Linked DNA regions of Mytilus edulis. Each later gene encodes a partner of the first gene's protein in a complex. Links are inferred from orthologs where the notes say so. Each region holds a gene or a part of one and is shown on either strand. Other genes may lie near its edges.

The links. Proteins that work in one complex are often made in the same cells at the same time.
Region 2: mitochondrial import inner membrane translocase subunit TIM50-C-like (region 1) and mitochondrial import inner membrane translocase subunit Tim23-like share a complex: the UniProt entries of both Homo sapiens proteins name them as parts of the TIM23 complex. The link is inferred for Mytilus edulis from reciprocal best matches to the Homo sapiens genes TIMM50 and TIMM23.

The regions. Positions count from the first base shown.
Region 1 is NC_092346.1:56,749,465-56,756,660, forward strand, and holds the start of mitochondrial import inner membrane translocase subunit TIM50-C-like, read right to left. Parts: upstream 3,069-7,196; 5' UTR 3,040-3,068; coding exon 2,652-3,039; intron 255-2,651; coding exon 223-254; intron 1-222. UniProt on the Homo sapiens protein: Essential component of the TIM23 complex, a complex that mediates the translocation of transit peptide-containing proteins across the mitochondrial inner membrane. Has some phosphatase activity in vitro; however such activity may not be relevant in vivo.
Region 2 is NC_092352.1:1,173,156-1,180,262, forward strand, and holds the start of mitochondrial import inner membrane translocase subunit Tim23-like, read right to left. Parts: upstream 3,061-7,107; 5' UTR 2,986-3,060; coding exon 2,913-2,985; intron 1-2,912. UniProt on the Homo sapiens protein: Essential component of the TIM23 complex, a complex that mediates the translocation of transit peptide-containing proteins across the mitochondrial inner membrane.

The DNA.
Region 1 (7,196 bases):
TAATTTAGATCTAGATCTTATTATGTTTTGACTGTCAAGAAGTTACTGGTTAGTAATGTTAGTCTTATTATTTCTTACAATCAAACAAAATCTATCTTTCAAGAAAGTTATTGGCAAAATATTTCCACCACTGCAGGCTGGCATTCACCAATGTTTTGTAATACTTTGTGTACACAGAAGTATTCTTTATCCAGATAAATATTATAATATAGAGAATTTTACCTCTTTCCCTCCTGGATCCACCAGAGGTGCTCCTAAAAAATAAGAGAAAGTTCTACAGAATTTCAAATGTTAAATAATCTAATCCTTCAGTATGTAATTACTTTAATTTGGATAGATATACATGTTTTTATAATTATGTCCACATACACTGTACAAGGAACTTGCATACAAAACACACAACTTAAATTCCTGGAGTTAAATTGTACTTTTATTGTGGAGAAATGTTTACATTGTATATCTCTAAGTTAAAGTCTTTATTATCAGACTGTAACAAAGTATCTACCATTTAAAATAATGTTTTATTTTATAAAGTTTTAAGGTAATATCTGTGTACCACAATAGATATATATATCTGGGCACAGGGTTTCCCCTGGGTCAATTATTTTTTTCGCCACCTCTTTCGCCAAAACAATATATTTTTCGCCACTTTATTATTTTTTTCGCCAAATATATTTTTCCTTTAAAATTTTCTTTTTTTCAAGCACCCCCCCCCCCCCCCCCCCCCCAAATGAGAAGTGTTTTTTAACAACAAAACGAAGAATCTTATTACTTGGAATTGATCCCTCGTGTAAGGTGTAGTCATTATATTGAAGGGTTACTCTCATGCCAACCTTTTAAATAGATTTCTTCATAACGACAGTTTTCTTTTCTAGACCATCGTAAATAAGTAAAACTATATGCTTGAAACACCTGTGTTACAGAAACGACTTTGAAGTACCCACTCAAATCAATGATCTATATGAAAGTTAAATGATAAAGTTTAAAATCAGAGACCTTTCTAGCTTTTGAACATTTTTCGTCATAACAATAATTTTCTTTTCAAAAGAAGGAGAGGAAGCGTAAATTTTGCTTCAAACACGTGCGTCGCAAAGCGGTAAATAAATCCCTTTTGAGACATGTGACAGAAGCCATTTAACCATATCATTTTGTCATATCATACAATCAACACCTTTATTAATTAGTCCTTTGATGTCGATAGCTATAAATGCAATCAGCTGATTATTGATTTTCTGTCGAAATCTTAACGAGTTCAAGGTGAATTCCGAGTATTGTCTGATCGGTAAAGTCAGAGAAACCCGAAAATAGTAAACAAACAAGATGGCTGAAAATAAATCGTTATATATATTTCTTTCGCCAAATTCTTTCGCCAATGACGAATTTTAATCGCCACAATTATTATTTTTTCGCAAATTGCGAAAATGGCGACCGCCAGCGGAAACCCTGTCTGGGCAACAATAGGTGATTTACATCTGTGTAACTGCTTGGCCATACTTTTAAGTGAAAGTCATATGTTATTCCGACTTCTGCTGACTTGAAAGAAAATGAACATCCAAATAAGGTTTTTAATTTTCTTAAACATAAAGTGCATTTAACTTTAATATTAACATGATTATAGGATCAGCCATCCCTTAAAACTTTCCTAGATGAACAAGTTTGCCTGTAGTCAAGAGATTTTGACATGCATGGTGAACCTTAATGAATTTCAAAGCTGGTAGCATTACACAACATAGAAGGAAGATAAAGAAATTTCTGAATTTTTACGCTAATTTAACTTGATTGTTAGGTTATAAGGTAGCAATACACAGTTAGGAGTTTAGTTTCGCATTTTGGCCCTGGCAGTGAATTTTTTTTAAATAGGAAAGTTATTGTGTAATAAAATTCATTTTTAGACAGCTGAGTGCTAATTTAGCCTTCAAAGATGGTTTATAAGAGCATCAAGATTATTTTTTACATGTTTTATGGGCTGTTTTCTGTTTGACAATCCGTATTTTCATAGCTAGACCAGCCATACAGAAATTTAAAATAATGTTTACAAACACTTTTTTCTACATGAAGTTTTTGACGCAATTTTACAAAAAAATGAAAATATGATTTTCATTTGATTTGCTGAATGATATATGTACACAGATTTAGAAAAGGTATTACTTCAAGCGATTGAAATTCTACTTTTAGCCAAATTGTGGGGAAATATGTGACATCTTTTCCCCCCTTTTTGCAATATTTGATAACAAATAAATGCAGATTGTTGCCATGGATACACCCAAAAGAAATTATATTTTACCATTTTATATATATATACTTGATATAAAATCTATGGAAGATTCTGATTACATACATATGCACATATTTGACACAAACAGTAAGCTTGATATTGCAAGAAAGCAATGAAAAGGGGATGGTTAAATTTTTAAGGGCAAATTTAATTTTTTTCCTAACTGTTTATTGCTACCTAAGGTAAAATTGCTCTTGATCTCTATGTACAGTAACACTAAAAAACAGACAATTGCTAAAGGCCTACACTTGCTACAGGTAGAAAAGTTGGTTGCTGGGTAGGTAAAATAGTTTTCTCTTATATACAAGAGTCAAAAAAAATTTTTTTTTTTCTTAAATGGTTAGGTAAACCCAATTTGGGTTTATGATGCAATTACCCCTTAAATAAACAAAGGGGCCACCAATAAGTAAGGCTGTTGCTCCAAGAGATATCAATCCTATTTTCCAAGCATTTTTCTGTCCTTTCCATTTTGATTCTTTTTCCTTTTTATCCTCTTCTTTCTTTTTATTAGTTTCTTCAGGGTCTGTAGGAGCATCGAAAGGGGCAGCTTTCACCAAAAATTCATCAGTCACAGAACTCGTCTGTTTGGAATAACAACAAACACATGGTATATTTGTTATGACAGGATACGAGTTTCGTTTTGTCCATTTTAAAACAACATTTTCTCCATCAAATTTTGCACAAAACGTGCGTGAATATGTTTTATGTGACTGTAGACGAATAAATGTTTTTAAAATACATGTGTGGGTCCTGAGAGCTGACATGTTTATACTGAATTGTGGGTACTCATTCGTCCCAAGTAACTCGTCCCTTCATTTCGCCACACTTCATATCAATAACTATACAAAGAAATTTCGGTTGAATATCGCCATCACTGAAATTCAGATATATTTTCACCTTGATATTCAAGATAGAATAAATTAGGGTTTGGATGGGGTTAAATGATTAAAGAATAATGCCCTTAAAAAATGAAGATTAGAGAATAAAGGGCAAAAAAAATGAACTTCGGATTAAGATACGTAGTCCTAGTCTAATTTTTTGAAGATTAGAGAAAAAAGAGGTCAATTTTTTGAAAATTAGAGAAAAAAGAGGTGAAAATTAAATGTTTACCAGAATAACAGACCCGCCATCGAGACCCTCATAAGTTTGAAATGGAATCTGTTCCGGAATTGAAACGTGTTTTCCCCGTTCTCTAGCGACTTTTAGTTTACAGGCTTCCGGTTGAAATTTTTAGACCCAGCCTTCCAAAAGTAAGAAGAACGCAAACATTTAATAGCAGACAGGTAACCAATTTGCACGGGGTATCAATTTGAAGACGTTAGAAATTTGTGCCATATAAAATTTAAAAAAAAATTAAACTGTTTCTTGTCAAACCCTACCATTAGGAATTACTGAATACTGGCTTTACTTTAGGCTTTTTGCAGCTGACCATTTTATGAGGGTAGTAATGCCCTTTAACCTCAGAGTGAAACAGTCAGTTATGGCTACTATAAATGACAAATTGATTTGAATTTTACCAGGATTGTTCAAAATATCCTTACCGTCAGCGATCTCAAATATTATCCTTACCGTTATTTTTATGCCTCATTTATGGGCATTATGTTTTCTGGTCTGTGGGTCCATTCAACCGTCCGTGGTACATCATGTATGATTGTTAATAAGACAACTATCCACCAAAGTTCAAATGAAGTGGATGTAAGTTATTAATTAAGGCAACTGTACATCCTTTAACCCTGGCATGTACCAATTCCAGATCAACTAAATACATATTGTTATAAACATGTTATGCACTTTCATGGATCTACAAGCTGTCGACTACTGCATAGCCCAAGGTCATATTTTTCTCTGACTGTTTCAGTATGATGTCTTTGTTAGATGTTGGATGTGTATGATTGATAATTTAGTCTTAGATGCATGATTTTTTTTAGTTGTTATTGGCTTTCAACTAGCTGTCTTTTTGTTGTTGGGATGTACAAGTACCCATTCATATCCACTCTGTATTTTTTATACCCCCGTTTTAAAAAAGTGGGGGTAAACTGGTTTACCTCTGTCTGTCCGTTCATCCATCCGTCCATCCGTCAGTCACGTTTGTATGTATGTACCTGTCCCAATTCCCAAATCAGGAGCCTGTTTTTCAGTAGTTGTCATGTGTTGCTGTGTTACTTATTTGTTTCTCGTACATATGATAGATATACTGTTCCCAGGTTCATTGTATTGGAGACACTGCCACTTTTAACGTTTAATGCTAAAATGAGTCATATGTGACAAATCAGTGTCCTGTTTTGTCTGAATTTCTTGACGGTGATTCTTTAAGATATTTGACCATAGTAGAAAATTTGTAGAATCCGGAATTGTTAGGAATTTTTTTTGGCTAGAACGGGGGGGAAGTGTAGGTTTTTTTTTTTTTTATATCGTACCATTGACCATCATCGACGCTGAATTCAAAATGGTGTGCCATTTAGCTAGCTGGGCAACCGTAGCTCTTATGGTTTATTTTGACAATTTGCGGACCACATGATATATGATCTGTAAATTGTCAAAAATATTACAAGGATACGAGTTACAGTTCCATAGCTATACATTTTGTACCTTAACATCGGATACATCTTTAAATCTTTTATAAATAAGAATATTTTATGTGTTTCCCCAGAGAACAAAAATATTTGAGCGCTCTTTATAACTTGCTGTTCAGTGTGAGCCAAGGCTCTGTGTTTAAGTCCGTACTTTGACATATAAGACATATGATTGTTTACTTTTTGAGAGACCTAGAGTTGTCTCATTCACAGCCTGTTTCTGGTAAAATAGTAGTTATTTTCTTTATGTTCGTAGTTTTATATTGTTTATTTAATTCATTTAAAATGAAAGAATATTTCTTTTATTTTACCTATCGAGAAGTTTAAGTTTTATAAACACCCCGCATGTGCGTAAATGTAAACAAAGAATTGTGGGTGTAATTGCACATAAAATTTCCATAATTGTCACTGTGTCAATGAAAAAGGTGTGTCATAGACTGTCAACTTCCAATCAAAGCCTGGTGACATAGTTCACTTTCCAATATTTAAAGGATCGACTATTTGAAGCTCAGGTAAAACACGTCAACAAAAGAAATAGGCGTATCGTAACGAGGTCACTCGCCTTTGTAGAAGTTCCGATCGTTTTCCAAAGTTTTAATACCACGGCACTAAGTTCATCTCTTTAGTTGGATATTTCCACAGTTTCAAATCATTTTAAATGTATTTTTTCTCGATTACTATCTTCATCAGTTAAATGTATTTACATACAATCTTGAATGGATGCCATTGTTATTACTGATTTGTTTGCATGAGGTGCGGTCATGTGACTGATAAATGAATATTCATGACTTATTAGTGACGTATCTACCGATCTTTGCTATTAATCAAAAATTTAGGTTAGTTCACTTATTTTTTGTATCAGTAATTGTCTTGAAACAGTTAGTAAATTTTGAAAACTTTTAATTACCATGATAACATGTATAACAAAACATTTTATTTTTTTTAATTTATTCCCCTTCAAATGTCTATTAACAATTTTAGTCAGTTGAATATTTAGAAGAAGTGATTATATATGTTTGCAATCACGAAAGATAAAATCCACATTTCAATAAAATAAGATTTTTTAATTTCAAATTTGTTAACGTTGAAAAACATGAAAAAGTACATTTTCAAGGCTCTGTGCTGAAAAATACTTTATAAATTAATCAAAAGGTACTCTACAATCTTCAATGTCATATAACCTATGTTTCAACTTACAAAATGCCCCAAAGCAACATTTTTAGATTATTTTTGTTGACACTTTTAATAAAGTTCTTAGTTTAAGTTTATCTGTTGGTTGTATGTCTTACAAGGATTATTGGTGAAATTTACTAGGAGAATTTTAGATTTGCAATTTTTTATCTTCATACTGGAAAAACACTTTTCCTTCCAAAGACCTGTTGTTTATGTTATTTTCAGCATAAGTGCTTTATTAATGTCCCCACCATACCTTGATGAAAATATTCAAACTACTCTTCCAATCTTTCCATGAGTGATATCCATCACTTTGATTGATGAAGTTGAAGTCCAATCAACTTGAAATTTAGTACACATGTTCCTTATAATATGATCTTTCTAATTTTAATGCCAAATCAGAGGTTTTCCCCCATTTTCATGGTCCACTGAACATAGAAAATGATAGTATGGATGGGGCATCATTGTACTATGAACACATTTTTGTTGTAAATCATTCAATTTTTTTATCATCTAAAAGGAAGTGCAGATTTTATTGTCATGCAACAAAAATTACCGTTTACGTCATTAAGCAAGAATCTTCACCGTTTATCCTCCCTTATACAGCATTACAGATCAGCCAGGGAATAACCACAAATTGATGGAATATACCAATTTTTGCATACATGTATCATATACACATGATACATGTATCTTTTCTCATAATATGAGAAAGACAAGTCATTTTCTGCACATCATCATAAACCATGTTTATGGATTGGAAAAGATCTTCATACAATGAATGACAACCTTGTCAATAAAAATTCCTCATATTGAAGGCATACTAATGTTTTTGTAGTAATTATGATTAGCATAACACTACCTAATTGTAGTCTATTTTATCGTCGGGTCATGGTCATAGCTAATAAAGATATGATACGAAATGGACATGTGTTCAAAACATACTCGCTAATAATTTCTGATAATATCAATAAAATGTCATTCAAGCTAGTTTTATAGTGATGCCAGTGTATCAAAGTTGTATTCTTTCACTACAAATTTGTTAAAATTGTATTCATTTCATCACAGAATGATACAGAATGCAAACAGGGTAATACAAAAATGGTGCAGACTGCATTCCCTAATTAACAAACCATTATAAAACACTTCAAATCAAATAAATCAAACTTATTAAA
Region 2 (7,107 bases), on another chromosome or scaffold:
GCATATATATGATAGAAAGATTTCATATCGAATATACTAAATTTGGGGTCCGACGTCCGTGAACTTCTAATTGGGAACCAGGTAAAAGGATCAATATATGAATCTGTGATTTTTCTCCATCGTTGAAGCATATGATAAAAAGATCATAACATGTCATTTTTCATATCGCATGTATTATCAGCCCTCAAGCCGTGCGGCTCTTGGGCTGATATTGAACTTAGGGCTGATAATACATGCGATATGAAAAATGCCATGTAATAATCTGATATTATTGGTTTATATAGTTTTTAAAAGAATCTGCAAAATTTAAACATAGGAATTTGCAAGTTTTCTGTTACATGTATTTACGTGATATAATTATCCCTTTTCTTTACATCATTTATGTTGTCAAACATTTACTCTTGTGATGTCACAGTGGTAAGGGATGACCAGTATAGTGGGGTCATGTAAAGGGAGATAATCCAAAGTTACATGTATTTATCATGTTAAAATATTGTGTGAATTGATACAATATTTCATGGGTCGATTCTGGTCTGTTTCTTTTCTTCTTCTGTTGTACCAAAACTTTGAAATACTGAAGATTACTTGTTGACGTGCATGGTTATTAATGTTAGCATTATTTATAGTTCCATAACTCTTTCTCCAGAGACCGGCCATGTAATTATTCTTGTCGAGAGCACCTGCTTCTTGCACGTGCCTGACTTCCTGTCCAGCCAGGCTCGTTGTCCCCAGGAACTATAAGTATGAAGTCACTCCCCGTGTTCAGGGAAGTCTACACTTAGGATTTGAAATGAGCAGACGCTCATACCGTTTAGCTTACAAATATGGAACCTTCATTATACAACAAGTAGACTAGCCGCCTCCGTATTTTAGTATATATGTTATATTGTAAGTATGTTCAACCATATATGTCTTTTAAAATAAACATCTTTATGTTAACTGCAGTTTTACGTGTATAGACGCCGTCAGCTGAAATTCGTAGCTGTTATCTGTAAAAATAATCTAAACTATCAATCGCGTTCACTCGAGATAATAGTTTTTCACATTCCATTCATAAATCGAAAAAAGAAAAACCACTACTGACCTACCTTTTAAGTGATCGCACTGTAATAATCCTGACCTTCACATTTTCCAAGATGATTTTGAATGGTGAAATCCGCCATTGTTTTTACCGGAAGTGTTTCCGTGGAGTTCAATTTCATAAAATTTGCATAAAGCGCTGGAAACCTTATCACATCAATGAAAAGAACATTTCAGGAAACTGCGTAAGTGACGAATGTCATATGTAAACAAATGATCCTCATAGAAACGAAGATGGCGGAATTACAATGGAAAACATTCTGGAAAATACACCTTATCGCTATTCCCGCTTGACCCGAGAATCTGTCCCGCTTGAACTTTTGACGTCATACAACAATCTCTTTTCCATTGTGGCGTCAGATATTTTCTTTTATGACGTCAAAATTTTACGGGAACTTGTGTGATGTCCAGTAATGGCGGACAAATAGCGATAAGGTGTATGTGAAGGTCAGGATTATTACAGTGCGATCACTCAACTAGAGGCTCTAAAGAGCCTGTGTCGCTCACCTTGGTCTATGTGAATATTAAAGGAAGCAGATGGATTCATGACAAAATTGTGTTTTGGTGATGGTGATGTGTTTGTACATCTTACTTTACTGACCATTCTTGCTGCTTAAAATTATCTCTATCTATAATGAACTTGGCCCATTAGTTTCAGTGGAAAATGTTAGTAACAATTTTACCTCATGTCAGATTTGCTCTAAATGCTTTGGGTTTTGAGTTATAGGCCAAAAATTGCATTTTACCCCATGTTCTATTTTTAGCCATGGCGGCCATCTTGGTTTGATGGCCGGGTCACCGGACACATTTTTCAAACTACTAACCCAAAACATGATTGTGGCCAAGTTTCGATTAATTTGGCCCAGTAGTTTCAGAGGAGAAGATTTTTGTAAAATATTACTAAGATTTACGAAAAATGGTTAAAAATTGACTATTAAGGGCAATAACTCCTAAAGGGGTCAACTGACCATTTCAGTCCTGTTGACTTATTTGTTAATCTTACTTTGCTGAACATTATTGCTGTTTACTGTTTATCTCTATCTATAATAATATTCAAGATAATAACCAAAAACCAGCAAAATTTCCTTAAAATTACTAATTCAGGGCCAGCAACCCAACAACGGGTTATCTGATTCATCTGAAAATTTCAGGGCAGATAGATCTTCACCTGTTTAACAATTCTTCCCCATGTCAGATTTGCTCTAAATGCTTTGGTTTTTGAGTTATAGGCCAAAAACTGCATTTTACCCCTATGTTCTATTTTTAGCCATGGCGGCCATCTTGGATGGTTGGCCGAGTCACCGGACACATTTTTTAAACTAGATACCCCAATGATGATTGTGGCCAAGTAGTTTCAGAGGAGAAGATTTTTGTAAAAGTTAACGACGACGCCGGACGCCGGACGCCAAGTGATGAGAAAAGCTCACTTGGCCTTTTAGGCCAGGTGAGCTAAAAAGTAGGTCAGTAGTGGTTTTTCTTTTTGCAATTTATGAATGGAATGTGAAAAACTATATCTCGAGTGAACGCGATTGATAGTTTAGATTATTTTTAGCGATAACCGCTACGAATTTCAGCTGACGGCGACTATAGTTTGTCCAATATCCCAGAACTTGGGTAGACAACGGAACTTACAAGCCAGTGGAAACACCACTTCTGTTACAGATCTTCCTGTTATTTGTTGCAGTCTGATTGAGATTTCATTTTTCATATATGTTGTAACATAAAGCTTTTAAACCTTTTATTTATAAACAATAATGATCATGATGATGTTACATAAAATTATTTATCACTCATACTTCTGCAAGTCTTCTAGCACACGATTAATTACATACCTGGGACATTCATTGGTTGATCATAAGGCGAGTTAGCAAAGAACCCTGATCGCTTCTTTTGATTGTTATCCATGATGAAATTATCAGTCGCTGCTTACTGTTGATGAAACATGTGCGTCATTGAAAACGGAAGGTCGAAAAAGGGATATAAATAAAGACAGAAGCTAAGATAAGAATGTCAACCCGAGCTTGGGCCCAAATAGATTTTTTTCATTATTAGTTTTATTAGGTCTCAAAAATTCAAAATAAAAATATTCTTTGTTTTATGGATCTTAATTATATAAACTAATAATTGATACATGATGATATTTTTTTTAACTATATCTTGGAAATATTTAAATCCCAAGTATATTTGACGGTTCATTTTCATGATTTTAGAGTTTACATTTGCAAACATGTGCTTCCGGTTAATATCAAAACATTCTCAAGGTAAAAAAAAAACCATGCTTCAGACAAAAAATAATTACAAACATAATCTGTATCTTTACATTTTAAAAATGTTTTCAATTTCCGCTATACTGAATAAAAACCATTGCCATAATAATTCACAATTGTCACTACTACAATAGCAAATAATGAAATATTCCATGCACATTCATTTCCATTTTTATTTTTTCCCCCGTGATTTTGGGAATGGTGCAATTTTTTTTATTTTATATAATTAAATTTATATGCGAGTTCGTGGTCTAGTGGTTAAGGTTGATGGCTACAGTGCTGAAGGTCCGGTGACTTGCAGCCTGGGTGCTAAAAATAGCAGAAGGGTGATTTCAGAGATATGCACAGATCTCTAATATCAGGTTCGTTCGTGCCCAATACACTTTCGCACCCTACACATTCGCACCTCCCATGTTAGTCCGAGATTACTCTGACGTCCAACAGCTGTTTTGCCAGACAAGCTGGGGCCGTGGGACGTCAGAGCTCGTCCCATATCAAAAAGTGGATATTTGACCAACCAAAATAGATGCGCTGCTTCGTCGCTTCTGGTGCCGATTGAGGGCCTTGGAATTATATAAATCGGGCACCAATCTGTTCATTTTTCATTTATCTCTTCATTTATGTAAGTTTCACCTACCTGCCAACCTTTATTTTTCCATATTTTAACAGTTTTCACAGAGACCCATCGATTTCTGCATTTTGACTTTCACTTTCAAATGGACGTCAAGTTACGAGAGAGTTCGTGGCCTCGAGACTCAAATATGCAAATATTTATATGTTTTCACCTCCTTTATAGGAGATCGATGTTTAACATTTAGAAGCTAACCACGATTTTTCACCTCCTTTACAGGAGATCGGTATTAAGCATTTAGTTTCGACCACGATAACAATCGGAAGCTCTCGGACATTTAGATAACTTGCATCGTAAATGAACGAGGTGTTACATTATGGTCATTTGCAATGTTTTCTCGTGGTCACGTGATAATCTTTGAAAATGAATGTCAAAATGCAGAAATCGATGGGTCTCTGTGAAAACCGTTAAAATATGGAAAAATAAAGGTTGGCAGGTAGGTGAAACTTACATAAATGAAGAGATAAATGAAAAATGAACAGATTGGTGCCCGATTTATATAATTCCATGGCCCTCAATTGGCACCAGAAGCGATGAAGCAGCGCATCTATTTTGGGTGGGCAAATATCCACTTTTTGATATGGGACGAGCTCTGACGTCCCACGGCCCCAGCTTGTCTGGCAAAACAGCCGTTGGACGTCAGAGTAATCTTGGACTACTCCCATGTTAGCACCCAATTCTAAATAAAATTCCAGTTGAATAATTAGAAAACCAAGATTGTTGTTTTTAATTGATTTGATGTAAATACTGCATGTATTTAGCTTCGTATGAGTAAAAACCTTGAAGATTTTAAATGAAAAACACAAAAGATTTAAACAGCTTGGCCCCTTTTATCTGAAACAATGAAACAAAAAATCATAGCAATGCACTAACCAAAACATGATGAAAATTTATTCAACACCAAAAAATAAGTTGTCATAGTCTAACTTCATTTTGAAACAATGAACAAAAAGTTAGCAATACACTTAACCAAAACAAGATTAAGATTTATTCAACACAAAAAAAAACATGTGTCTCACTTTAATTTAAGACAATGACAACAAATATACTTACAATAGGAATACACTTGCCAAAACTTGATTACAAAGTTTTTAAACACAAAACCAATAATTGGGCGCAAACGTGTAGGGTACAAAAGTGAAAGGGGGCGAACGTGATAGGGTGCAAACATGAATGGGCGTGAACGGACCCGGATTCCACATCTCTGGTAGTGGTACCCAGACCAGAGTTTAAACTAGAATGGGTACTTTGGGGGCATTGGTTGGTCAAAGATGCCCCTACTACAGTACTCTTAAGGACATGCTGAGATTGATAACTTTGAGAGACATTGTGTCTGACATGACAGTCTTAAGGACAGACACAAAAACCAGGTGTGATCTCATGCTGTTTAGCAATTAAGGTTACCTGAATCAAGGAGCATGACTGATAAACTGTTAGATTACATAACCATGATAACTATAAAACCTTGTTTACAAATATGTTATCAGCTAATAATTTCAAATTTTGCTTCTTTTACAGGTACTAAATAATATTATCCAAAGGGGATGAAGAAAATAAATGTTTCAATTATTTCAATAAAAAAACTGACCTTTTTAACATGATATATATACTTTTTTAGTTAAGTTTTATTAATTTTATTTCTTTTTATTTCTATTTTGTTTATTTGTTTTTGCCAAAAAAAAAAATTTATGACCTGGAGATCAATCTACAATCTAGTGTCCAGGTGGTTCTCTCTAAGTAACAGCTTCCTCCACCATTAGTAACCAAACTTTTAGCTTTAAGGATCAATATACATTTTTAAGACTATACATTGTGGTGGTATGACTGCACGTGGAATATGGAAACACAATTTGGTATCCACATTTTGTGAAAGATATTAATGCTGTGGAAAAAGATAAGAGCAACTAAATTAATTCCTGATATATAAGACATTTACAAATGTAAGCTATGGAGACAGATTAAAAGTACTTAAAGTACCTTCTCTTACTCATAGAAGGCGTTGATGAAATATTAATTAAGGTTCATGAGGACCCTTTGGCTAAAATGGCTGCATTTTCACATCAAAATTTATCCTGAGTACAGACACACCTGTGTAACTTGAATACTTTTAAGGCATAGCTTGCCCTAGATAAACAAAATTCAAAAATATTCTACATTTGTATGTTTTAGAAAAATTTCAAAAAATAACGATTTTGCTGAGAATTTTTTTTCATTCCTCCAGCATGTGCCAAAATAAATGGCTTTATCTTCTTCAAGCAAGAAGAAAAGCTAAAACCTTGAAAGTTGAACTTCGACTTGTATCTACTGTTCATCTATTGCCCATAGGTAATAATTGAAGTGAACTGCATTGATTGAAATGGACAAAAGATGAACGATAGATACATGACAATAATTGGTGATTTAAACTGTGGACCATATCGAGTGACACTAGACTGTTTGTTTATTTTATCATCTTCTGCAGGGATGAAAAAAGTGCACTGCCAAATCCAATTTTCTAAAACAAGTTATACATTTGGATTAAATTTATCTAGGGTATGTTTTCTCGTTTGAATTGTTTTACATTGTCTTATCTGGGCCTATTATAGCTGACTATGCGGTATGGGCTTTGCTCATTGTTGAAGGCCGTACGGTGACCTATAGTTGTTAATGTCTGTGTCATTTTGGTCTTTTGTGATAGTTGTACATTGGCAATCATACCACATCTTCTTTTTATACGACCGCAAAAATTTTAATTTTTCGTCGTATATTGCTATCACGTTGGCGTCGGCGTCGTCGTCGTCCGAATACTTTTAGTTTTCGCACTCTAACTATAGTGAAAGTGAATAGAAATCTAAGAAATTTTAACACAAGGTTTATGACCACAAAAGGAAGGTTGGGATTGATTTTGGGAGTTTTGGTCCCAACATTTTAGGAATTAGGGGCCAAAAAGGGCCCAAATAAGCATTTTCTTGGTTTTCGCACTATAACTTTAGTTTAAGTAAATTGAAATCTATGAAATTTTGACACAAGGTTTATGACCACAATAGGAAGGTTGGGAATGATTTTGGGAGTTTTGGTATCAACAGTTTAGGAATAAGGGGCCAAAAAAGGGCCCAAATAAGCATTATTTTTGGTTTTCGTACAATAACT